Lepisosteus oculatus: one gene and its partners. The protein of the gene in region 1 purifies or fractionates together with the protein of each later gene. This does not show direct contact. Links are inferred from orthologs where the notes say so. Each region holds a gene or a part of one and is shown in the gene's direction. Other genes may lie near its edges. The genes, in order: llgl2, pard6ga and rad18.

Region 1 (7,452 bases):
GCGGGAGGCCACACTGGCAGACCTGGAGCGTGAGTGAGAGGAGAGTGACGTCACACTCCGGCTGTGCTTTTGATCAGACTGCCTTGACTTGTCCCTGGTACAGTAATACCAGAACAGAACCTTGTGTACTTTGTAAACTGGAGCAAAATAGAAGGATTTATAGAAAAGAATACAAAGCAAGGTGACTCCATTATGAAGGCAAGAAGCCACTTAATTAAAAGCCAATTAATTCAGCTGAAATGTAGATGGAAATCCGCAACAGAAGAGCCAGTGATTCTCGTGGATCAGGGTTGCAGACACCATATTACTGGCTAAATACAAAAAAATAATATGTTAAATATGAGAAATTCCCAATCAACTAAAGAAAATGCAGTAACTGTGACTAATACAGATTATTGTGATTATTCATCCAATAGTACCGTGAAAGACAATGAGGTCCCATTAAAATTGACAACATAAGGCATCACATTGTCCTGGATTAGAGTTATTTTACTTTTGAAAAAAAAAAGAACTTGGACAGTAATGATGATAAGCAAGACGTTTTTTGGCCATAAATTCAATTTAGTTCAAAATACTATACTTGATTCATCCTGGGAGGGCAATTTAAGCAGCTAGCGGTACAACATAGAACACAAAGACAAAATTTAAGAAGTTAAAATTATTTTGATTAACATTTTGATTTCCACAATGTGGAAATAATTATTTTTTGGACTCCAAAGGTACCATATAAACTCCGGTGAGATTTCTTCACAATGACAAATGCACACTGTTATAGGGATGTTTGAGTGCCAGGAGAGCTGGAATCAGTGACCCTTGACCGATTTGGCAATAGAATGGGCTCCTTCCGCTCTATGGTTGCTCCGTGAACTCTGACCTGGATGGTGCACCCCGCAGGTGCCAAGGGACGACTGGACGGGGAGACGTACCGGCGGGCACGCCACGTGATCGAGGAGATCGAGCGCACCGCCCAGGCGGCGGCAGCGCTGAGGAAGGGGGAGTACCGCGAGTTTGGGAGGCTGATGGTAGAGAGTCACAATTCTCTCAGGTGAGCTGGGTGGCACAGGTCAAAACAGGGGGGAGCCAGGATGAGGAAGGGTTACAGTCTGATTCACACTGAGCCCGAATGGAGAAACAGCTGAAGTGATTGCGCGGTGTTTTGCGGTTCTCACCAGGGACCAGTATGAGGTCAGCTGCCCCGAGCTGGACCAGCTGGTTTCTGCGGCGATGGAGGTGGAGGGGGTGTACGGCAGCAGGATGACGGGCGGGGGGTTCGGGGGGTGCACCGTCACCCTGCTGGAGGCTTCGGCTGTGGACAGAGTCATACAGCACCTAAAGGTACCCACCCTGCTGTCTGGCACATGATCCAGCACAGATAGGAACCAGAATAGGAACTGAACTCACAGAGGAGCAGATTTTACTCACAAACAACCTGTCTGGTCCTCGAGAGTATTCTTCTCCCTTACTGAAATAGGTAGTGTCTTTTATTAAGTACACATAACAAATAAGAGGGCAGTGTAGTAGTAGGGCAGTGGTTAGCATTGCTGCCTTGCAATGCTGGAGTTCTGGGTTTGGGATCAGTTCCAGTCCTGGGGTGCTATCTGTGTGGAGTTTGTATATTCTCCGTGTTGGCATGGGTTTTCCCTAGGTGATCCAGTTTCCTCCCACTGTCCAGAGACAAACTGGTAGGTTAATTGGCTGCTGGTACAATTGGCCTTAGTGTGAGTGTGTGCTACTTTGTGTCTGTGTGTGCCCTGTGATAGACTGGCATCCTGTCTGGGATGTATCCTGCCTTGTGCCCATTGCTCTGGCTCCCTGGCAGCCCTGAATTGGATAAAGTGGCTAGAAGATGAATGGATGGATAAACCGTAGCAATGATCTAATTTTGATTAGAGTTTTTTTGTACAGGTTTGTGTGTTAACACTCTGTGCATGTTGGTCCTCCAGGAAAACTAGTGGTAGTGTTTAGAAATAGCTGTATTTGCTGTGAGGGTAGACAATTGGGACTTCAAACAGCATTTTCTCTCATATAACACCCAGGATTTGTAGTAACTGTAAGAGTATAAATGGAGTTTTTTCTGAATATAAATATAAAATGATAGAAAACTGAAGGAGGGACTATGTACTGTGTCTTTACATGTAACTGTCTGCAAACAGGTGAAGAGAGGAACTGAGTTTGCCTTGTGTTTGTTTCTACAGGAGCGATACACTGGAACACCGACCTTCTACATTACCACCCCATCAGAGGGAGCACGAGTCCTGAGCCTGTGAATGCAACCTGCCCTGCTGTGGCTGCCAAAGCAATAAATCAGCATTTGTTTTATTATGGAACCATTTCTTTTTTGCCTTCACTGAAATGCCATTACCTGTGGCACAATATTATTTTTCTCTAGTAATTGTGAACATGAAAACGGACAATAGATCTCTTTTTATTAGCACAGATACAAACTCCCAGTGCAGTGGCAAACAATGTATTAAATATGATTAAAATACAGGTGGTCCATAGATGTACAGTACTAATATAAAGCTAACAGGCTTGAAACATCCTTCTTTTCATTAAGACCCCTCTAAAAGGTCAAAGGTGTCTTGATGAGGTCTGATGTGTCCATCTTTAGGGACACTCTCCCACTGACGAACCATTCAAGACATCAGGAGAGAATACTGTTCTGCTACATTGACAGGCCTCATGCCCCTAGTCCTACGTGGTATGGTGGTGCGGTTCATAAATAATCTTAGATTGCCATCTCTAACATGTTGTTTACTGTCAGGGTAGATGCTTTGGCATGTACACTTTGTCCGTTTGACATTTGCATTCCATTAATACTATTTTGCATTGCTTCCTGTGAGCACAATGTGACAGTGATGTGTTGAATTTGTCCCACCCTTGTTCGGTGTCATGTAAAGGATCACTTGAGATTTGGGAATAATTAATTCCCTTCCCAGCCAGTGCTGCACACACACTTCGTGAACTAGACCAGAGAACAAACATGAAAGGTGGTGGAGTGACTTTGAAAAACTAAAATTGCTGTTTTATATGCAAATACTTTCTGTACTGCCGTCACCACAAGTCTGGATTGCTGAACAACAATCTCTTTAGTTCGCAGACTAATCCTTGTTTCTGAGCCAGCCACAATTGTTTTCCGAGTTATCATTGATTTAATCATTTGTTTTAAAAGCTTTAACTTGAGTGTAAAGCTTGAGTGTTAATCCTTAGCTAAATTCAAAATATTCAAAAGACTGCATGACACAACTCCCACGTGTAATAACAGTAGTCATCTGTCTTATTTTGTATTTGTTCTTACATTTTACTACTGCTTTTGTAGTGACAATATATTGACTTTGATGTTGACGTACTGTAGGTCAGTGTATTATCCTAACATATATTCCTTCTCAGAAAGATGGCTGATTTCACGTCCTAGTTTTTTGTGGTTATAAATGAAAAGCAAATGTAATAATTGATGAGGTGTTAAACTAGCAATATTTAAAACTTTTATTAAACTAAACCTATGTTAAGGGGTTCTGAGGAGACAGATTGGAGCTGAAGCAGTGTGCAGCTCGTTGTATTATAGTACGTAGCAAGATGGATATACATAATCTCCCAACAAGGGTCAAACGAGATCAAGGTGATCGCTGATTCATCTTTTCTGAGAATAGTGGTTAAAGTAAACAAAAGAGTTTCCTCAACAGTCGAATACGATCTTAAACCACGACACCTTATGTAAGCATGCTGCTGAAACACCGACAATGGGCAACGCCAATTAAAAATCACTTTTACTGTTTTTGAAAGACTTTACATTTGTTTTACTTACAACTGCAATCTTGTAAAATACGTATCAGCCTTCTGTCCCTTGTTGTCCCTTACGAAAAAACGAGAAAAGCAAAACACGTCGAAACGTAGTACAATTTTGAATAACTTTACATTTTGAATCCGGTACCTTAATGTGGGAGTTCAAAACCAGCAGGCAAATGAGATTTTTTTTCTATTCTTTCGGGGGGATCTGAGCGTTCAACGGAATAAAAGTTTTCAACTAGCAATAATCGCGACTCGGCTAAACCTCATAGGCTACGATACCGCCACTGTGCAATACAATTTTCGGTATTGGAGGGAGGTTTTCACTTCAAATTGTGGATCGCTGCCTAGAAATTGTAGGGAGTCCCCGAAACTTCATGAATAAGTGATGTCCCCTCCCATAAGGAGGAAAAAAACCCCGGAAAGAGGCTCTTGGGGAGGGGCGGAGCGAGGTGAGTCACCGAGAACAGACAGCTGAACCCGGGAGAGGGCAGCAGGAAATATCGAGGCTGCAGTTTGGGAAAGTAACGAAGGGGGTAAACACCAGGGAATACTTGGGAGGAGGAAGTGGGACTGGGCACAGGGACGCGGCTTTGGATTTTAGAAACCTGGAGAAGGCCTCAGCAAGGACCCGCAGGTTTTAGGAGCGAAAGTAACTGGTTTGGCCCCGGGGAAACGCAGTCGAGGTCCAGGTGAGTTTTTGCTGGGCCACGGCAGCAGTGTTTCCTCCTCCACAGGTGAAACTTGTGGGTCGGGATGCAGTGGGTCGAAAGTTGTTCTTGGATATATGGCGGGCATCCAGCAAGAAGCGAAAACTCAGGGTTGTCTGCATACAGGTAGCGGGGTACTCCGTAAGAAGTATCTGGTTACCGTTAACAGAAGGAGTGGGGAATTGTACGAAGAACCGCCCTAATCCACCTGCAAACACTCATTTTCTCAGTAGGGATAGATTTCTTTGAAAACGTTCTCTTCCGAAGAGAGTATTAAAAGGAATTAAAATAATTTAGGCACATGAGTGGTAGGCATCGTTACTTTTGTGAGGAGTCTACCCCAGTTGTTGACCTGAAAGACAAGGAGTATATAATAATGTATGTAAGCGAGAAACGTCTACCCAAAAAGTTGCATGGGTTGGTAAAAAATCACAAGCATATCGAATTCCATTCTGACGGGTTGTAAAGATGGACGAATGTTAGGAGTCTTAACTACAGGTAGTGTTTACCCAGAGGGGAAAGTGTTATTTTTGGTATTAATGTGAGTTTCAAATAATTCAACCCTAAGAAAAGGAGAAACTGGGATGACCAGCAGAAATCAGGCGAGGCATGCCGACCATGCAGGTGCTCAACTTAGAATAGGGAAACGAACGCGGAGGGAGCAGGAGATGAGTGAGTTTTTCTCGTTACTATCATACATGTATCGGTGGGTGGTGGGTTATGACGACCCCCTGCTTCGACATCCCCGGATGTCCACCAGCTGTAATTGAGAGGTGGGGGGGGAGAGACGTCATAGCGAAACGGCACCCGCCCCTAACTGCAGGTAACATGCTGGAGGTAGGCAGTAACAGCATGACCTCATCCGTTTGTTCAATAACCACGCCACCCAAGCATTTCCTTACCGGTATATATATATAGTTTTGGATAGATTTGCAAAACTTTATCTTCAAACATTTACATATGAATGTTAGATTTATCGAACTTCATATTCTGTTATAGTTTGCAAGATGTATGGAAAAGGAATATTTTCCTTTATATTTTAGTAATACTGGGCAGATATCACATCACAGATATCAAACAAAATGGTCTAATGTTCTTCCTTCCTTTAATGCTTAATAGGTGGAAAAGCAATATTGCTACTTAAGCCCCATTGAAACTTGAAAACTAACAAGGCAAAAACACAATTGATGTATGTAAAACATGTTAACTTGATGTTCAAATGTGTAATTACCTCTGGCAGCCCATTGTTTTGTGTGTTTTTTTTGTTCCTGTGTCTCCTTGGATGGGTTTGCTTCTTTGTATTATTTAACGTTGGGGGAAAAAGTTATAGATTAAAAAAATCAGATTCGCATTAACCAGCTGGATCATGGGCTGTTAGTGTGCATTGCTGGACTAAAAGTAGCTCTTTAATGCGTGACAGGTTACGTCCCCTTTTTAGAAACCTGTGCAAAATGTTTTTTTAATTTAAAATACAGATTGTGCGTAACCGTGAGAGACACTGGGCCAAAACAACCTGCTGCTTTGGTTTTTTGTCTTTGGCCGCTGTGGCTTGTTTTCAATGGGTATCGCCCGTTCGTAGCGAATCCTGCATTTCCTGCTTGCTGAGGTGGGGGTGCCCACCCTGGTTACCAGCCCAAACAGAGGGGCATCCCGCTTCTTTTGTCATTTAACCTGGGTGCGGTCAAACAGCGTTGTCTCTGAAGGAGATGGCGGCTGTGGAGTGTCAGGTGACCGGAGTGCTGAGTCAGTTGTCTTTTTCCACCCTAGAATGCCTATTTTTGCCTTGGACACCTGCTGTTCAGCAGTTTGTCCCCTGTGGGGTTCTCAGTGCCTCTGGAAGTGGATGGCGAAGCAAAGAGTACATACACTGCACAAGCTTTATATTTTGATCCGGCCTACACTTGCCATTGTCTCTTGCATCGGGACTTCTCTGCACCCCATGATGCTTTGTATTATACAACAGCCTGAAAATCAGAAAACCTGCAGTGGCTCAGAAAGCAGTGCATAGGAGGCAGGCATCATTTATTATAGACCTTCAGGTCTTCTGACACCTGAAGAAGGCTCCACGGACGAAACGTTGTTCTCTTTCTTCTTTTTTTCAGCATGGAATAAACCTATTATTTGTTCCTTTGCAGCCTACGCATGCTGACGCAGCTACCCACCTGAACTACTATCATTTATTATATATAACTATGATTGATGATTTCTATAGAAATAAATCACACTTCATACCTGCAACCATAACAGTGCACTGCAGACCTAGGATCTGTTGTGGAGTTTAATGCTTTCATGCAATACAGACCTTTCAGCAATTTAGCAGAGGGTTCACAGACCTTTCTTAAGTCAGTTGTAATGGTATCTTCCACATAATAGAATTAGGGGTATAAAAACATGAGTGAGTGTTTTGCTAAAGCCTAGTTCCTGGTTACTGTGATGGTAGTGTAACTGCGGCAAGAAACAGCAGGTTTACTCTTACTTGTTGCATATGCTGTAATATGCCTAGTTAACTATATAAAAGGGCATTTTGGTAGAGGCACTGTTTGAGGGTTACAGCTCATGCAAGATTGCATTCAGTAGGTCAGAAGAAAGAAAACTTATAAGTGAGTTCAGATGTGCCTTTAGGAATGCCCCTGGGATACGCGTTATGTCCTGGCAAGTTCTGCAGCTGGACAGTGTCTCTAAGTCTCTAAGCACTATAAGACCTTGATGCCCTTGGTGGGGGCGTGCCTGGTCACTGCCCCAAGCCCACACTGTCGTGAGGAGGGTTTACCTGCTGGGGCTGAGCATGATGCAGCTCTGATTGCTGCTGGTGTAGGGGGTTTGCGGCTTAAAGTGCAACCAATGACACCCACATTTCTTCTGCACAGAGCCTACTGTGTCTCTTGGACAACCATTTTTAGTGCTTTTATTTCATTCAGATTATGTAAAAATATCTGTACAAGTATACATATTACGG
Region 2 (8,423 bases), on another chromosome or scaffold:
TTGCTCAAAGAGCTCACGGATTTGAAATGAAAATCTTATATCACAACCGCAGTCGGAGGTACAAGTACATACAAATACATCAGTGCATCATCCAGGCTGCAATCACATACAGCACCACCCTCATTATACCAGACTAATAGGGGGGAAGGTGTGCCCATTGTTGCCAAATGTCCATTAAATAACTGATCCATTTTCAAATGAAATTCCCATTTTAATTTGTGGCAATCTTAGATCCCACTTTGCATTCTTAGCAGACGTTACAGGCCTCTCCACCTCACTAGCTGCAGTGATAACATCATGATGCTGGGTGACTTCAATATACTGTACACAAGGGAGGCTTGCAAGTCAAGAGCTCTCTGTCTCTTCTTGACTGCTTAGCATTTACTAAACACCTATATGACCCCACCCTTTAATTAGTTAATACTAGTGGTGTGAAAATTCAAAACTTTATATTTGTTAATAAGCTCCAACTCTTTATATTCAATCACACATTCCCTTTGTAGAGCGATTTTGAACCTTGACGGATAAACTCTTCAGTTGTAACTAGATTTAATGGTATTGCAAGTACAAATCTCAGTGGTTCAGGGATTGTAGAAGAAGAGTAAAGTATTAGTCATTCGTATTAATAAAATCATTAATAATAAAGTAATGTCTAATGTTTAATGCCTACATACCATTCAAAGGAGGCTGTTTTTGAATGTGAGATGACATCAGGAAAGGATGTTAGGTAAGAGAAATGAAACATTTTATTTCAGGTACAAAAATACAGTAGTTAATGAGTATTCAAGCTCTAATAACAAAGTACCATCTTCCATAATTAAACAGCAGTACTGTATTGAGTATTGCCCTCGGTGTCTGTCACTGAGAGTTGTCTCCACGCAGGAAAGTAGAGGAGGAGAGAGCTGTGGAAGCGCATTACTGTGAGAAGATGGACGAGCTGCTGCAAAAGTCTGATTTTGTCATGCTAGTGGTAAACCTGTCACCACAGACACACAAATTGATAGGGGCCAGGGAGCTGAGCCTGATGAAGCCCACCAGCACACTCATCAACATCAGCAGAGGTAGGTGCTTGAATGAAAAACACAAAAAGACAGAACCCTTCAAAAATGCACATTTTCAGGTTTTGGTAGTGTTATCAGGAATTGAAAAGAAACATTAAATAGCACATTCAGATTTCATTTTTTAAGCATAACATAGCACAGTCTTGACTGTGGATATTTTACAAACTTCTGGAAGGAAGTCAGTACTGTGGGAAACAATAACAATAAGCTGCATTATGAAAAATGTATTACAGTATTTGTTTGTGGTTGGTATTTCTAAACAATTCTTTGACCGACAAAGACAACTTCCCATGCAAAGCTACCAGCACCACATAACTGAGCAAAATAATTAAAATGAGTTTTGCTCCAAAAAGTCAGTGGCAGATATTTCCGTGGCAAAATAAGGACAATAATTAGCCAAATGGCAGCTTATTTACCCCATGTCAAATGGGACTACTTCTGTGACAAAGAGAAGCAGATGTTTTGTGCTTTAGTGTAATTGGGTATCTTCCTAGGGTCTGAGTTGGACCTGAGCAACAGATGGACAGGTGAATGTATCATAGGAGCTTGTATTGTAAACCTGTCTTCATTCACACTTCACAGCAACAGGAGCTGTTACAGGAAGGCTGAGTCTCATTAATTGGTCATTCCAAAGTGGTTGGGTATATAATCATTGACTACTCAAATAAACATTCATTAAAATTGAGATTTATTAAAAGTAATTCAAATTAAACTGACTTCAACAGGTGTAATCATACCCCTCTGTGGATGCCACAGGCAGTTTGTTAGTCCTCGTGCTGATGTGAAGAAATAATTCAGTAATCATCTAATAATAAGAGGGAAACAGAAGCTGTCAGGGGACAATAGTTTTATTACTCCTTTTCATGTGCTCTCGCATACGGCCTAGTTTCCATATGTAAAAATTAGTGTTTTAACTGGCATGTTTTCCAGTTGGCTGGTTTAAGTTATGTATTGTTAAAGACAAACATGTTCTCCTTCTTGGCCGAAGGCTTGGTGGTGGACCAGGATGCCCTGGTAGATGCGCTTCAGAAAGGAGTGATTGGAGCTGCAGCTCTGGATGTCACTTACCCTGAACCTCTGCCAAGGTCAGTCTGTGCAAATCACCCCCTGTCATTGCTCTGTCATTGTAGCCCACAGTTCTTTTCTGTTCCCTGCTTAACCAGGGGCTGTGGCGGCACTGGAGGTTAAGTCTGCAGCTTCACAGTTCTTGTGTCCAGAGTTCAGTTTCAGTGTGGCCTGCCTTCTGTGTGGTTTGTGCATGTTGTTTTTGGATTTGTCAGAGTTTTTTCTGAGTGCTCCTTCCTGAGTGATGACCCTGGTATTTCAACTGTGATCAATATATATGTTGCCTTGGTCAGGGTGACTGATTTACTTGCGCAGCTCAGCTTCCTCAGCCAGTGTTGTCTTCTCTGTATAGCAAGAATTTGATGGTGACAGGCAGTTTATTGATTCGTAATCGTAAGCGGAGTTTAAGTGTTCTTATCTGGAAAGCCAAATCGGGGAAGAGGACCACCTTAAAGGGGCAACTAGTGACACAGAATGAACACTTCAAAAGTTAGTGGCAATATCACAGCCTGTGGAGCGATACCTAGTGACATCAACATATTGTGCTGCGGTTCTTTGCCTCTATAGAGATCACCCCTTGCTCGGGCTTGAGAATGTCATTGTGCTGCCGCACATGGGAACCCATACTTTTGAGACAACCCAGAAGATGGTGGAGAGAATGGTCACTAATGCCCTGGCTGTCCTCAGCGGAAACTCAGCCCCTGATGAGATGCAGTCATAATGCCAGGGGTGGGAAGGGTTCTGCGTTGGATCTGGAGTTTCAGGAACCCAACACTCAAGAACTGGACCTGCCTAGCACAGCACTGGAAATAACCTGACACTGTGTTCTTCTTGTACTGTAACTATGCAAGTTCTCTGGGAGTTGGAGAACAGGCCTGTCTACAATCACATGTATCTCATCAGTTATAGATGTGTTATAGACATGTTATAGATGTGTAATGGACACAACTGTTCACCTGAGCACAACTGTGGGTGGCTCCCTTGTTATTGGTAGTTAAAGCTGATTTCAGGATGGTTTCAACAGTTGTGAAAATCTCAAAGGATAAAATGACTCTATGACATTGCCTGAAAGCACAGTGAAATCCTAATAATAGTATGTTTTTTTTTCTGTTTCTCTCTCATACAGGTTTTATGCTTATGGTTTTAAATAATAATCCTAGTGTAAAAAGGTTAACATAAATTTAAAGATAAACTACAAATTGGAATGACTAATATCTGTGTGTTTAAAAAATTAAGATTCATTCATATTTTACATGAAATGTATAGTATGTATGTGCAAAGTCACAGCGTCTCTATTCAGGAGTTGACGCTCTTGAGTAAAGTAATAACAGTGTGGTGCAAGCACTTGTTGGGTGCATTAAGATTTCAGTTTTCCTCTTTGTCGAATTCCTGGGAAATTATGCAGGAACAAATGTTGTCCACTAGAGGGGAGTCTGAGCCACTTGTACACAATTGTAGACCGTCTGATTCCGTACATTCGCTTTTACTTTTCTAATGATTTTCTATGCTATTCATACTCTTCGCAATACATTTTGTCTTTTACTTTGGTTTATCTGTATGTCTAACGTGCACCTGAAGATTATATACTTTATTTCCACAAAATACCTCAGATTAAATTCTATGTCAATAATTTATTATTATAACATATTATAACATCACCAAAAATGTTAGGATATTTTCTTAAATGTACATTGTAAATCAACATAAATAAAAATGTTAAAACTTTTGTCTTGCATGTTTTTCTGCGATGACATGTCAAAGTGTTTCATATTGTGAATTATTATTGCAACTCTACTGCAGACATTCTAGGTCCTGACCGGTTAAGTGAATAAAAAACTCAGAATGAAAACCTGCTTTAAGGAACAGAGTATCACTGTCCTATGTTCCTCTTGTTTTTCATGTTAAACAAGGATGAAAAAAAGAACTATGAACTGTCAGAGTAAACTTTATAACTCATTCATATACACACGTCCCTGTACGTTCCACACCATTTTTTTTGTAAATAGTTAAATCAGTAGAAATCGTATTTGCCACTTGCAATAACTGAAAAAAAAAATTGATGAAGGTTGATTTATTTTGGATTTTGGAAGTGAATAGTAGTGTTACAGGGTGAATGATCCCAATACATGTCTGTGATCCTATGAAAAGTGGCTGTTTGTCCACATCAATCATTTGAGAAACAATGTTTTCATTAATAATGAATAGGAGAGCTTTCAGTGACATTACCACAGTTAAGTATCATTAGGTGTTACTGCCTCAGGGTCACTGCATGGAACAGGTGAAGCTGTCACACTGTGAGTGGCAGGGAGGAGGTGTCCAGAGACAAAGAGACAGCTGTCAGACTTGTCTCTGTGCTGACAGGGAGCAGTAACCATGGAGACAGCTATGGCCTCTGTTGGCCAAGCCTCCTGAGACCCCACACAGACTGACCTGGCTCTGTTTTGAGTGGTGCAGCATTAAAAACATAAAATATGCTGCAAAATACCTCAATAACAAAACAAAAGAGTGCCTGAATGAAGATTTATAGATTTATAGTAGTAGGAAGAGAAGGCTTTGAGCAGTCTGTCCCATGATACACTTTAACTTCATTCCCAAAACATCACATTTGTTATTGGCAGCTCCCTCTAAAAATAAATGAATTAAGGATATATCATATTACCAAAGTGGGTCCACAGAGTGTCATGCTATAAAATGAGGTGACTTTGAACATATTTTAAGTGCTTTCCTTAAATTGTGAAATAGTTTACTCAGGTATCATGGTGGCAAGACAGTTAGCACTGTTGTCTTACAACTCGAGGGTTCAATTCTGGACTCCTTCTGTGTGGATTTGACATGTTCCTCTGATGCTATCCTTTCTTTTCTCCTTCTAAAAACTTTCTGCTTGGGTTGTTCCTGCACACTTATCTATGTGTTTTCCCTGCACTAATCTAGCCTCCCGTCCAGAGTGAATAAGCAGCTTTCTGACACTGCAGATTCATCCGCAACTGTTTTCAGCAAACATAACATAAATAACTTTTATTCTAGGAGTAACTTACACGCCCGTCCCCCCTTCATAACATCACAAAAGTCCTACCCCCTACCGGTCCTAATTCCTAACGTCGTCAAAGTGTGATCATTGCATTGCGTTACTGTGTACTTTTCTCAAACTTTCAGCTTTACGGCAAAGCTAGTACAACAGGCCTATTTTACAAATCTCAATGCGTCCGCCGATCGCTTTAGATGCTATTTTGAATACATCCCTCTGTGTACAAGACACAAACTATATTTTGGTTAAAAAAAAGTAACTTCTTCCAAAACTTCCGCTGAGGGCGCGCACAGTCCTGAAACAACCGCGTCCTCTGCTGCGGCGGAGGATACACAGCCCTCCGCCACAAGAGCAGACAGATTTGGGGAGTGTTTGTATCCTTGCTGGGGCGCGGTGATGTCATCGCAAACTTCACTCACTCCCCCATTCAGAGGCAGTGAGTTCTACTGCTCTTCATTTCGGCTTTCCTGAAACACAGGCGAGCTAGCAACCGAGTGCTACGGATCCTCGGGATACAGTCAACGGAGAAACTTTCAACTTTCTTTTCTTCCGCTCACCACACAGGACAGAGGAATTCACTGACAGATCTGCAAGCCCTGGTTTCCGAGGGCGAGTGGGAACTTCTGAAAGTAACCAAAACAATGAACAGGAGTTTTAATAAATCCCAGTCCTTACGATACTTGGACTGCACGGCTGTTGAAGTAAAAAGCAAGGTAAGGATTTGTTTTATCGTGGCGGGGGTACCTCTATTTAGTTAAACTCCTTATTTACTCGTCTCTTAATTTGTGGATGCTGCAAACGATTGAGATCTTTAATTGCAAATGAGTTCGCTCGCGCTTACTAAAGTGCAATTTGGAATTGCGCATTCCTGTGTTTTCGAAACCAATTACCAGTTGGTAAATGTTTGCAATCCATCTCGGTTAAATGCTCTCCCTCCCTTTTTAGAAATCTTTGCGGTTTTTGCTGAGCTCTTACTGCGCTTTAGTGATGTGGAGTGCGAAAAACGCACGCTAGGCAGAATCCGTGTTTAAACAGCCAAGCTGGGACCTGGATGAATTTGCACGCACAAGCGAAGGATTTCGCCTGGTAGCGAACGAGATGGCAGATCCATGGACACTGAGCTCCCACGATTTTCAGGAAAAACTGGAAATGAAAAGGCTACAAGGAAAGGGCCGAATAAAACACGTATCACCCCCACCCCCAAAGAAACCCCGCTACGCCTTTCTATTCAGAAACGAAGATAACTGCCGTGACTTGTTGCCGGAGGAGCAAATCCAGCGTGCTCTGTGACTCAGACTGGGGGTTTAATTCGATAAATGTTTTTTTACGATTTGGCTGCTTGAACTTGCTTATGCCCAGTGACTCATCTCTCGGAGCGGTCTTTGTCAACCACCTGTATTCATTCTTTGGCCGTATTGTCCAACTTCTCAGGCGGATTCCAAGAAACTAGGCTATCTTGTCTGGCTGTAATTAGGCGTCCTGTTGCTAAGCTATGGTGTTAAGATATGTATTGCTTCTCGACATAATGCTTAATATTGCTAACACACTATCCCAGAACTGGGTAGATCAATTTCCTAATTGTGATGTTCTTTGGAAAGTTGCCTTTAACTTTCGAACCCCCCCCAAAAAAAAGAACTAGCGTTTTGCTGTTCTCGTGGGTCACACGAGCCGCCATTAATAATTATATCTATACCTTCATACCTGCGTCGAAACCACGTTGAGTTGGAAATGCGCTGCAATCCACTGTTTGTTTCAGAGCTTTGTCGCTTTAACAGCTCTTGAAGGGATTATTATTCACACAGTACATGCGTTCGGAAGCTTAAATTTTTAGTTTATTTAAGCCATAATTAAAGGAAAAGTATCATGTTGTCTTATCAGGTATGTAGCTGATGTTGTAAACATGCCGTGACAAAGCTCTGCACATAGCTCTATAAGGGCTAGGAGTGTTAAAATTAATTGTGATCATTTAGGCGCAGTGTTTGGATGAACATGCTTTTTCTTGTTGCCCAGCTATTCTAAAGGTAGAATTAAGCAACGTGACTTTTTTCCCAGTGAATAATATTTTGACACAATTCCTTGCGTTTAGCTTTACACTTCTCATTCCACAATTCTTTTGTGGGGAAGACGACCCACTTCATCAGAAGTACGGGCCCCATATTATGATTGACATGTCTCTGCCGTTCAGCACCAGCACCCCCCCGACACAGCAGGTCCAGTGTCGATGTGAGGAATTGCTTATTCCATTGAATTACAGAGGACTGTAAGGAAAGCCTGATTGTTGAAGCCTGGAGTGAAATTTAGCCAGGATGCTAGTCAACACCCCTATTCTTCCAGTAAGCGCCATGGGCTCTTTATGTAGCACGTTTAATGTCTTATTTCTGCAGCACAGTTTCCTTACTGGGGCATTAATCTTGTAAGTCTTGGTGTGGGATGTAATTATTACAGTCTGCACGTGAAGCAGAGGTTGCAGTAGTACTTAGTGACGTCTTTGTCTAAGCAGCAGTAGTTATTTAAGGAGCAAGAGTGTTGGTAGATTTGTATCTCCAGAGCCATAAATACCATTTGATTAGCATAAAGGCATATTGCTAAAGAAATATCTAGAAGGTGAGGTTTATAGCATGGGAATGTAGATTTTGCCACAGTGCATTGAAACCTAGGTAGGTTTCAGAAGATGAAGAGCAACAGTCTTATCAGTCACTTTATTGTCTTGAATTGATCATTCTGAATAGCATCAGTTCAGATACTCTTCAAGCAGGAGACTGGAACTAATAGCTGGCTGGCTTCTCTTGCCCCTGTGTACTGTAGCGCCCACAGTTGTCCCACACTCTGCAGAAAGTGCTTCACACCTGCCTTTGCCCCATGTTGTGACCGCAGGGTTGAATTCATGACTACCTGCACCCTGAGCTAAAGTGTATCCCCTTGGTTGACTGATCTTTTGAGCTTTGGACAGCATCATGAATATGGTTGTTGTCACTCCACATTTGTTGGCAATTTGAATTAAAGGAAACAAAAAGCCCTTGGCAAAGATCATAAGAAACAATATGTAAGCCATTGTAAAGCTCTCCAGACGTTTTTTTTAACAACACAGATTAAATGAAAATAATTAAATTCCTAACTAGCGTCATTTAAGGGAGCTGTGATTTCTAAAAAGCTATTTTGCACATTTTTGAGATTCATATGCCATTTTTAAAAGATAACTTTGTTTATATGTCTGTGTGCTTTTGCCTTTCTTCATTCACTTCCAGTCCGTAAACCCCCAGGGCTTTTTGTCC
Region 3 (7,525 bases), on another chromosome or scaffold:
CAAGACATTGAAACAGTGGTAATGTAGACCAATTTAGTGAACAATTTCTTAAAGTTATTAAGACTCCAGCATGGAATGAAAACCAGAGGACATGGCAGGCCTCCATGGGTGAATATCAGTACCCTAAGGGATATTATTCAAATCTGTTCCATGACTACCAATAAACTGCAGTTCCAAACAGACTCCCTGAAAGTAAAAATCTATATATAATTAAATAACTGAAAGTCAGAGGTTGCCAGGGAACTACTGATGGATAATGGGTTCTTGTCAAATTTTCTAGTTTTATGTGAGAACTATATCCAAGCCATGCAAAGGCAGTTCTTGTAGCACTTCACCATTCTTTATGAGCTTCTGTGCTGCACAGTACATGTCAGCACATGGAGCTTAAGAAGTAATAAATGCTCTATTTTCAGTGGCAGTATGTCATAGAGAAAGAACATTTGAGTTGTTAAAAATGAAAGACCCTAGAAAACCATCATATCAGTGGGATGCTGGAGGTCAGCAGCTCAGAGATGCAAAGAAAAAAAAAACATATTTTAATTCTACTTATGTTTGCCTAGCAACTTCCAATTAATGTATTTTAAAGGTACATTTTTGAGACAAAAGTTCAGAAGAAAGCGTAGTGTTAATCTTAAAGATTAATAGAAAAGTCCACATCACTCTAAGGAACATGTGTTTTCCGAGCACGTGGCACTCACTGCCTGTAAGAGATATAGTTATCATTAGCAACCTGCTCAGCTGTAATGTTCAGTAAAAGAGAACAGCATCTTGTACACTGTAGGCATCTAAGTTAAATTGGAAACTGAAAGGAAAAGGTCATTTCACGTGTTTTGACACTATTAAATATAATGACACCAAACACTGGACTGAACATAAATGTATTTCAGAAACTGGGTATTTAAAGAAGTCAGATTGCAATAAACACCTTTAAAATTGATTAATGAGTTGAATGTTATTAAATTGTAATATAGAAAGTATAGAATAGAAAACCACTATATGGTGCTTCAGTTCTGAGTCATGAATTATAACACTCTTAATTTATTTACTGTCTTTTTAATGCCACTAGGCTTTTGAATTATATAACAAATGTAATGACGGTCTCTTGATTTATATCCATGTACTGGATACATGACACATAGTTTATAGAACACAGATGGGCAACGGAAATATTAGATTTAGAAATGGCTTTATTCACAGCAGCCTCAATAGGATGAGACAAGAGAAAGACACATTTTGATTTTAAGAAACTAGATTACTGCATTCATTCTACAAAACCACATTTTAACTTCTTAACAAGTGATAAAGACGGCATTTAAAAGTCCGTGTTGTGAAATGTTGTGAACAGTCTTGTGAACTGGGCACAGGTTAACTTTCAAAATGAAAACTGAAAATCCAATTGTAGAGTTATGAGAATCTAGATGTGTAAAGGTAGTATGGGTGTCAGTATTTAATAAATGCAATGCTTGGAGCTGTTCTTCTGTTGAATTAACAAAAGCCCGACTTGTTGACCTTGTTTCTGCTTCCCTCACCACTTCAGTTTATTGATTTTTTTTTTTCTGAGAGACAGTTTTCAGTCTAGTCTACTGTAACTGGTCTAGATCAGATGGAAATGGGAATGTTAATCCTCTGTGTCAAGGCAAAGGATACGATCAGAAAGCTCAGATTTATTTTTAGCCATTATGTTCTTAAAGAGGTTATTCTCAAAATAATAATACAGCTCAATGTTCTTCCCCACATTACCAATAAAACTGCCTGCTTTGTGGATCAGTATCTTAAATATAGACCCCCCATCCATAACTTTGTTTACTTTAAAACATCCACAAAATGGGTTTTGACTTTAATTCAGTTTTCTGCAAAAGCTCAGGAAGTGTCGTAGGGAAATTGTATGGACAATGTATATTCTTTCAAAACAAATAATTTTAAACTACTTTTTTATATACTATCATTTTGTGACCATCATGGCAAACAAAGCTATTATATAATATTGGATATACTGTATCTAATTCATATATACTGCAGCTATACAATATACTGTAAAATAGTATTGGATGAGATGTAAAGCAAATGTCTGTGGCCACTAAAAATCCCAGGGCATTTCTCAAAAAAAGAGTTGGGGTGTTATCCCAGTGTCCTGGCCAAATGTTACCTTGGCCTTTACCAATAATGCCCTCCTAATAATCCCCATCTATGAATTGGCTTCACTACTATGTTCTCCTCCCCACTGACATCTGATGTCTACTGGTGCATTTTGGCTGACATTGCGTGATCCAGCTGGGTGCTAGATGTTGGTGGTGGTGATGATGATGATGCAGGAACATGGTGAAGATACTTGAATACTTGGTTTAGTTTGATCCACAAAATGAAAAGTATTTTTCATCCCCCAGAGGTTAGTATGCATATGACTGAATGAGTTCAGATAATTATGTACAGATGAAGATCAGAAAGATTGTTTTTAGTAAGAAAACACTCTCCTTTAGGTTAATACTGAGAAGCATACTGTATTCCTAACTTGACACTCACCCCAAGAGAGGGTACAGTAATGATGCAAAACAGAATAAACAGTCAGGTCAGCTTTCAAAAATAGATGGTGCTTTATTATTGGAAATTGAATTTTTGTTATTATGGACCCTATGTGAGTGTGTACTTGAAAATGACTGTATCTCTGATCCAAGACACGTGATTAATGGCTTCTTATACTGGACTACCTGATTAGAATTCCAAATCATTTAACTCCACAATACAATTCATTGCTTAATACTGTATGTCATTGTTCAAGGGTGTCTGAGTATAGTCTGCAATGAATTCACCCAAACTTCAGGTAGATGGGAAATACGCAAAATATTCATTAGTTGTCATAGATTAAAACAGTTATTTTTCAGCCACTAACTGTGGCTGAAAAGCTGATCAACACATTTGTGTTCTCCTGAACTGACTACTGTAATGCTCTGCTCGCTGAGGTATCTAAATCTACATTGAACAAACTGCAGTAAGTCCAAAATTTGGCAGCCAGGATCCTGACCAGGTCTAGTGCAAGTGATCACAATACTCCTATCCTGGAGTCCTTGCACTGGCTTTTTGTCAAATTCCATGTGGACTTTAAAATCCTCATGCTCACCTATAAGGTTCTGCATGGTTTGACACTTCAGTACCTGTCTGAACTATTATCGCCCTACTTCCCACCTCGCAACCTCTTCTAATTCTGGTCTCCTAACTGTTCCCCAAGCCCTTCAACATTCTATGAGTGACAGGGCCATCTCCTGCTATGCCCCCAAGCTCTGGAACTCTCTTCCCAAGGATATCGGAGTCACCTCCTCTTAACTCCTTCAAATCCAGACTCATAAGAGCCTTTACTTAACTGGTTCCATTCTTTACCCCTCTGCTCCTACTATACTTAGAACCACCATCCATGGTCTCCTCTGTGTATTGTAATTGTGTTTTATCTTGTGTATTTGTTTTATTTATTGTTGTTGTCATTCTGTAAAGCGCTTTGAGAAGCCACCTTTAAAGGCGCTATATAAAATAAAAATGTTTTTTATTATTATAATTATTTCTGAATTGGTGATAAAAAATACCTCTCCATTACACAAGATCTTCTTTTAGGCAATTTGAATGTGCAGCATGGAGAAGTAATTAGGACTCTGGAATCCAGTCCAGATAGCTGTGAGTTCATATCCCAGGTAAGACACTGCCATTGTACCCTTAAGCAAGGTAATTCACTCAAATTACTCCAGTCAGTAACCTGCTGAATAAATGGCTCCCCAGGTCATCATTATAAAAAATAGTTCAGGTTGTGTTCTCTTTCTTCTTTTTTTCAGCATGGAATAAACCTATTACTTGTTCCATTATAAAAAAAATAATTTGTATTCACTTGACATTGCTAAATAAAGAACTAGCCCATTATTACCAAAATAACCCTCCTGTTGATAAGAGAATGCCCTGTAAATCAGTAAATAGGAACCTGCAGGCGCTTCGAGGTATCACAGTTTTTAAAGTTCTTTTGAGATCTAATAATGCACCTGACCGAAGTGGGGGTGAAAGGCCCGCCTCACCAGTGATTTTCGTTTTGGGGCAGTTCCTTATTTTTCGCTTATTTTCCGGTGGAGGCGATTTTGTCATGGACGCGCGGCACTCTTGAGTGCTTGCACTGCAAATGTCCTATGTGTAGAAGCTCAATGGAAACAGTAATTATTTTCTCTGCGCTCATTTGTGCTACTAACATAGGAATAGAAGAAGTAAGATTGGATAAAGACAGTGGAACTTCGTACACTAAGGTTTACAGCCGTAAACATACGTAAAAATTAGTAATGTACTGTGATCATTGCAGATTCTATCAAGCCTACAACATCCAGTTCACTCTTCACTGCAGGAAGTGACGATTTTCACTGCGGAAGCTTTTACTCAACTTCCGGCACTGGCGCGGGAGTGTTAAATAATAAGTGTATTTGCAGTCAGGTTCTTTTTCTTAAAATTTGAAGTTAAAGAAGGAGTATTTTATCAAGTGTTTATAAAATGTCACAAAGCTTTACTGAAGCGGAAATCCCCCCTAATTTGTGTCATCTCAAAGTAAGTGAAGGAAACGTCAGTGCAACTCTTATTTAGGCACTGTATGATTAATGCTCCTTAGTGTAAGCAAAGTGCCTTAATATACGTTTATGCTATATATCCACAAAATTGATACCATGTGATGTCAAGAAGTAGTAGGTCATGAGACAACCGAAACTTACTGTTAAGTGTGCACCGTGAGAACAGATCCTTTGAACTTAGGTAATATTTTTTTAGGTAATAAAAGTTGCGATTATTTTCAAACTGCGGATTTTTCCTTTTTCAAGCATTTTGGATTGGCCTATCATTTGTAACCAAATACTACAGTTTATGTGCTCGTATTTACACAGCAGTCTTTTTGCCATCGCACCTTTTATTTCATTCAAGGAGCTGTGATGTTTCACTTTGTAAAATATTTACACTGTTGTGTGCGTCGTTCTTAAGAATGGAAAATAAATAGTAGTTTACTGTAGTGTAGATGAAATTACAGAGTACAGTAGTTGCTTGTAGAATAGCCAACTCAAGTTATGGACTCTCTTTGTTTTTAGAATCTAGATTCTTTGTTTAGATGTCCAATCTGCTTTGATTATCTGGACATTTCAATGATGGTTCAGCACTGTTCCCATAACTGTGAGTACACATTTCAGTTTGAGATTTGTAAAACATAAGTACATTATTTTTGTTTCCAAGCAAAACTTTAAACCAAAATGTTTATTTGGTCACGTTTTTTACTAAGTGCTTAAATAATTTCGATAGATTTTAAATGTTCCTTTTTAATTATATCAGAGAGCTCAAATCATGTAATTCTATAAAAAAAATGTGCTTGAACATTTTAAGTATAGAAGCTGCCTCCTGCAATGGTGTTGTTATACTGTGCTGTAGTGTGGATTCATATTAAAAATATGTTTGTTGCTTTCAGTTTGCTCTTTATGTATACGGAAATTTCTGTCCTACAAACTGAAGTGTCCAGTATGTAATTCGGTAAGTAAAGTATTCTTGTTTTAAAACTTTCCTTATACGTGCAAATTACCATTGTTCCATAGCATATTTATGTAACAATGGCATTTTGCGTGGATTAGAAAACCTATACCTAAATGTTTTCTGAAATCATGTGGTTGTCACCAATGAACAGGCCTACATACAGTATTTTGGTAAGAAATATCTGATGTGGATGTTGAAGGAAGAATGAAATTTCATATCTGTAAGCAGTTTCTATACAACCAGAAGCTGACATTTCTAATTAGATTTAAATAGTTCTATTTCTTGCACTGTTTTTGGTCAGGGGGAAATACTGTATGGGAACAAGTAAATGTTGATTTCACGCTGAAAAGAGAAGAAAAGAAACAATGTTTTGTCTGTGGTGCTTTCTTTGGGTGTAAAGGTGCTGTATCTGAGTGCTTTAAATACTATTATGCTTGTATGTTATTTCAGTATCTGATCAACATCAATGGCATTTGACAAAGCAGAACCAAACTGATTATTTTATAATCCCCACTGATTTTGGAAGGTTAAGACTATCTTCTTATGGTTTCAAATATTTTGTCAGTTCAAGCATTTAAGCTAGAGAGAGAAAACAAAAAACATGACTTGAGTTTTATATACTGGGAGGCATTAAAAAGGCAACACGGTCTTGTTGCCAATATTTTTCCAAAAGTAAGGGGTTCAGTTTATCAGAAAGAGAATAATTCTGCACTATTAGTTAACCAAATGTGCAAAACCCATTTCAGTCATTTGTATCGTAGGCATGTATGCAAATGTAGATGTGATCACTATGATGTTCAGATGTTACTGCGTCTGCAACTGTGTGCACAAACATGGCTGAAACAAAATCCCATGGCTTCCACAGCCATGGTAGGGTAGAAAAGAAGAGGCCATTGGGATGCCGAGGGCAAGTATGTCAGCATTTAGGGGAAATAGACACTGGTGTGCTTCACACGAGTTTAACTTGTTACTGACGGTAACCAAGTGGCCATGAGTCACCACACCTGTTTGAGGTATATCCCATTGAGATATCTCGGAGGATGAAATAAATAGTCCTGCATCCTAACCTACTGCCCAGTCACCTGGATGTCTACATATCCAGACCAGCTCCCAGACAGAAAGATAGTGTCTTGAGAATGAAGGCATAAGAACCCATTGTACACATAGGGTTGCTGTTGAATAACCATCATAGGGCAACATGTCATGCTTGGGCAACTGAAACTGGCCCAAGGCAAATTCAAGTTCAAGTTAATTTGTCAGTCCAGCCATATACAAGTATACAGAGGATCTGGATATTGTTCTCTGGGTCTTCGGTGCAAATACAGACACTGGCAAGAAAATGCTATAGACAATGTAGACATAGACATTTCTGACAGGGTACGGTGCAATGTGCATAGTAAAATTGGAACAACGTTGTATTAAGTGGAGGGTCATGGGCCTTTCTGATGTAGCACAACAGTGGGCATAGGGCATAAAGCAAAGAAGTACCATCCGCATTGTTTCAAACGTGGGTGTATCTGAAGCTGGAGATGTGATGGTATGGACTGCAATTCAGTGTAATTCATATATAAGCGCTTTGAGTGGAGTGTCCAGAAAAGCGCTATATAAGTGTAAGCAATTATTATTATTATTATATATATATAATTACAACAGAAAGTATTTCTCACGGGTCTCCTTCTTAAGCACTCAGTTTAGACACAGATAGTGCTGTTTTATGGCTCTTTGACTGTGCAAAACAATAGTGGCAATGTTGTTGGCACATGCATTGCACCTTACTTTGGTCAAAATTATGCCCTACACATTTATGTGTGAGAATTCATTATCACATATTGCACACATTTGTCAGACTTTCCTGTCACAGCAAATTATGCTTAGGAGGTACCAACCAACCTATTCATCTGACCTGAACCCAATAGTGTATCTGTGATACATACTGTGTCATTAGGAACCTATTCTGTATGTCTGCTGAGCATACTCAACATAAACACCCTTGTAATGTTTT

Evidence for each region.
Region 2: the proteins of llgl2 (region 1) and pard6ga purify together in Homo sapiens (affinity purification with mass spectrometry; 4 studies listed by BioGRID and IntAct, counting the BioPlex papers as one, with this or other methods). This does not show direct contact. The link is inferred for Lepisosteus oculatus from reciprocal best matches to the Homo sapiens genes LLGL2 and PARD6G.
Region 3: the proteins of llgl2 (region 1) and rad18 purify together in Homo sapiens (affinity purification with mass spectrometry; 3 studies listed by BioGRID and IntAct, counting the BioPlex papers as one, with this or other methods). This does not show direct contact. The link is inferred for Lepisosteus oculatus from reciprocal best matches to the Homo sapiens genes LLGL2 and RAD18.

The regions. Positions count from the first base shown.
Region 1 is NC_090704.1:36,050,987-36,058,438, reverse strand, and holds the start of llgl2 (LLGL scribble cell polarity complex component 2), read left to right. Parts: upstream 1-4,237; 5' UTR 4,238-4,478; intron 4,479-7,452. Other genes in the region: galk1 (galactokinase), read left to right, coding at 1-29, 895-1,045, 1,173-1,335, 2,196-2,267. UniProt on the Homo sapiens protein: Part of a complex with GPSM2/LGN, PRKCI/aPKC and PARD6B/Par-6, which may ensure the correct organization and orientation of bipolar spindles for normal cell division.
Region 2 is NC_090705.1:16,173,855-16,182,277, reverse strand, and holds the start of pard6ga (partitioning defective 6 homolog gamma), read left to right. Parts: upstream 1-5,212; 5' UTR 5,213-5,547; coding exon 5,548-5,587; intron 5,588-5,715; coding exon 5,716-5,864; intron 5,865-8,423. Other genes in the region: probable 2-ketogluconate reductase, read left to right, coding at 1-58, 883-1,061, 2,050-2,146, 2,694-2,847. UniProt on the Homo sapiens protein: Adapter protein involved in asymmetrical cell division and cell polarization processes. May play a role in the formation of epithelial tight junctions. The PARD6-PARD3 complex links GTP-bound Rho small GTPases to atypical protein kinase C proteins.
Region 3 is NC_090699.1:53,229,151-53,236,675, forward strand, and holds the start of rad18 (E3 ubiquitin-protein ligase RAD18), read left to right. Parts: upstream 1-4,163; 5' UTR 4,164-4,509; coding exon 4,510-4,563; intron 4,564-5,090; coding exon 5,091-5,172; intron 5,173-5,461; coding exon 5,462-5,523; intron 5,524-7,525. UniProt on the Homo sapiens protein: E3 ubiquitin-protein ligase involved in postreplication repair of UV-damaged DNA. Postreplication repair functions in gap-filling of a daughter strand on replication of damaged DNA.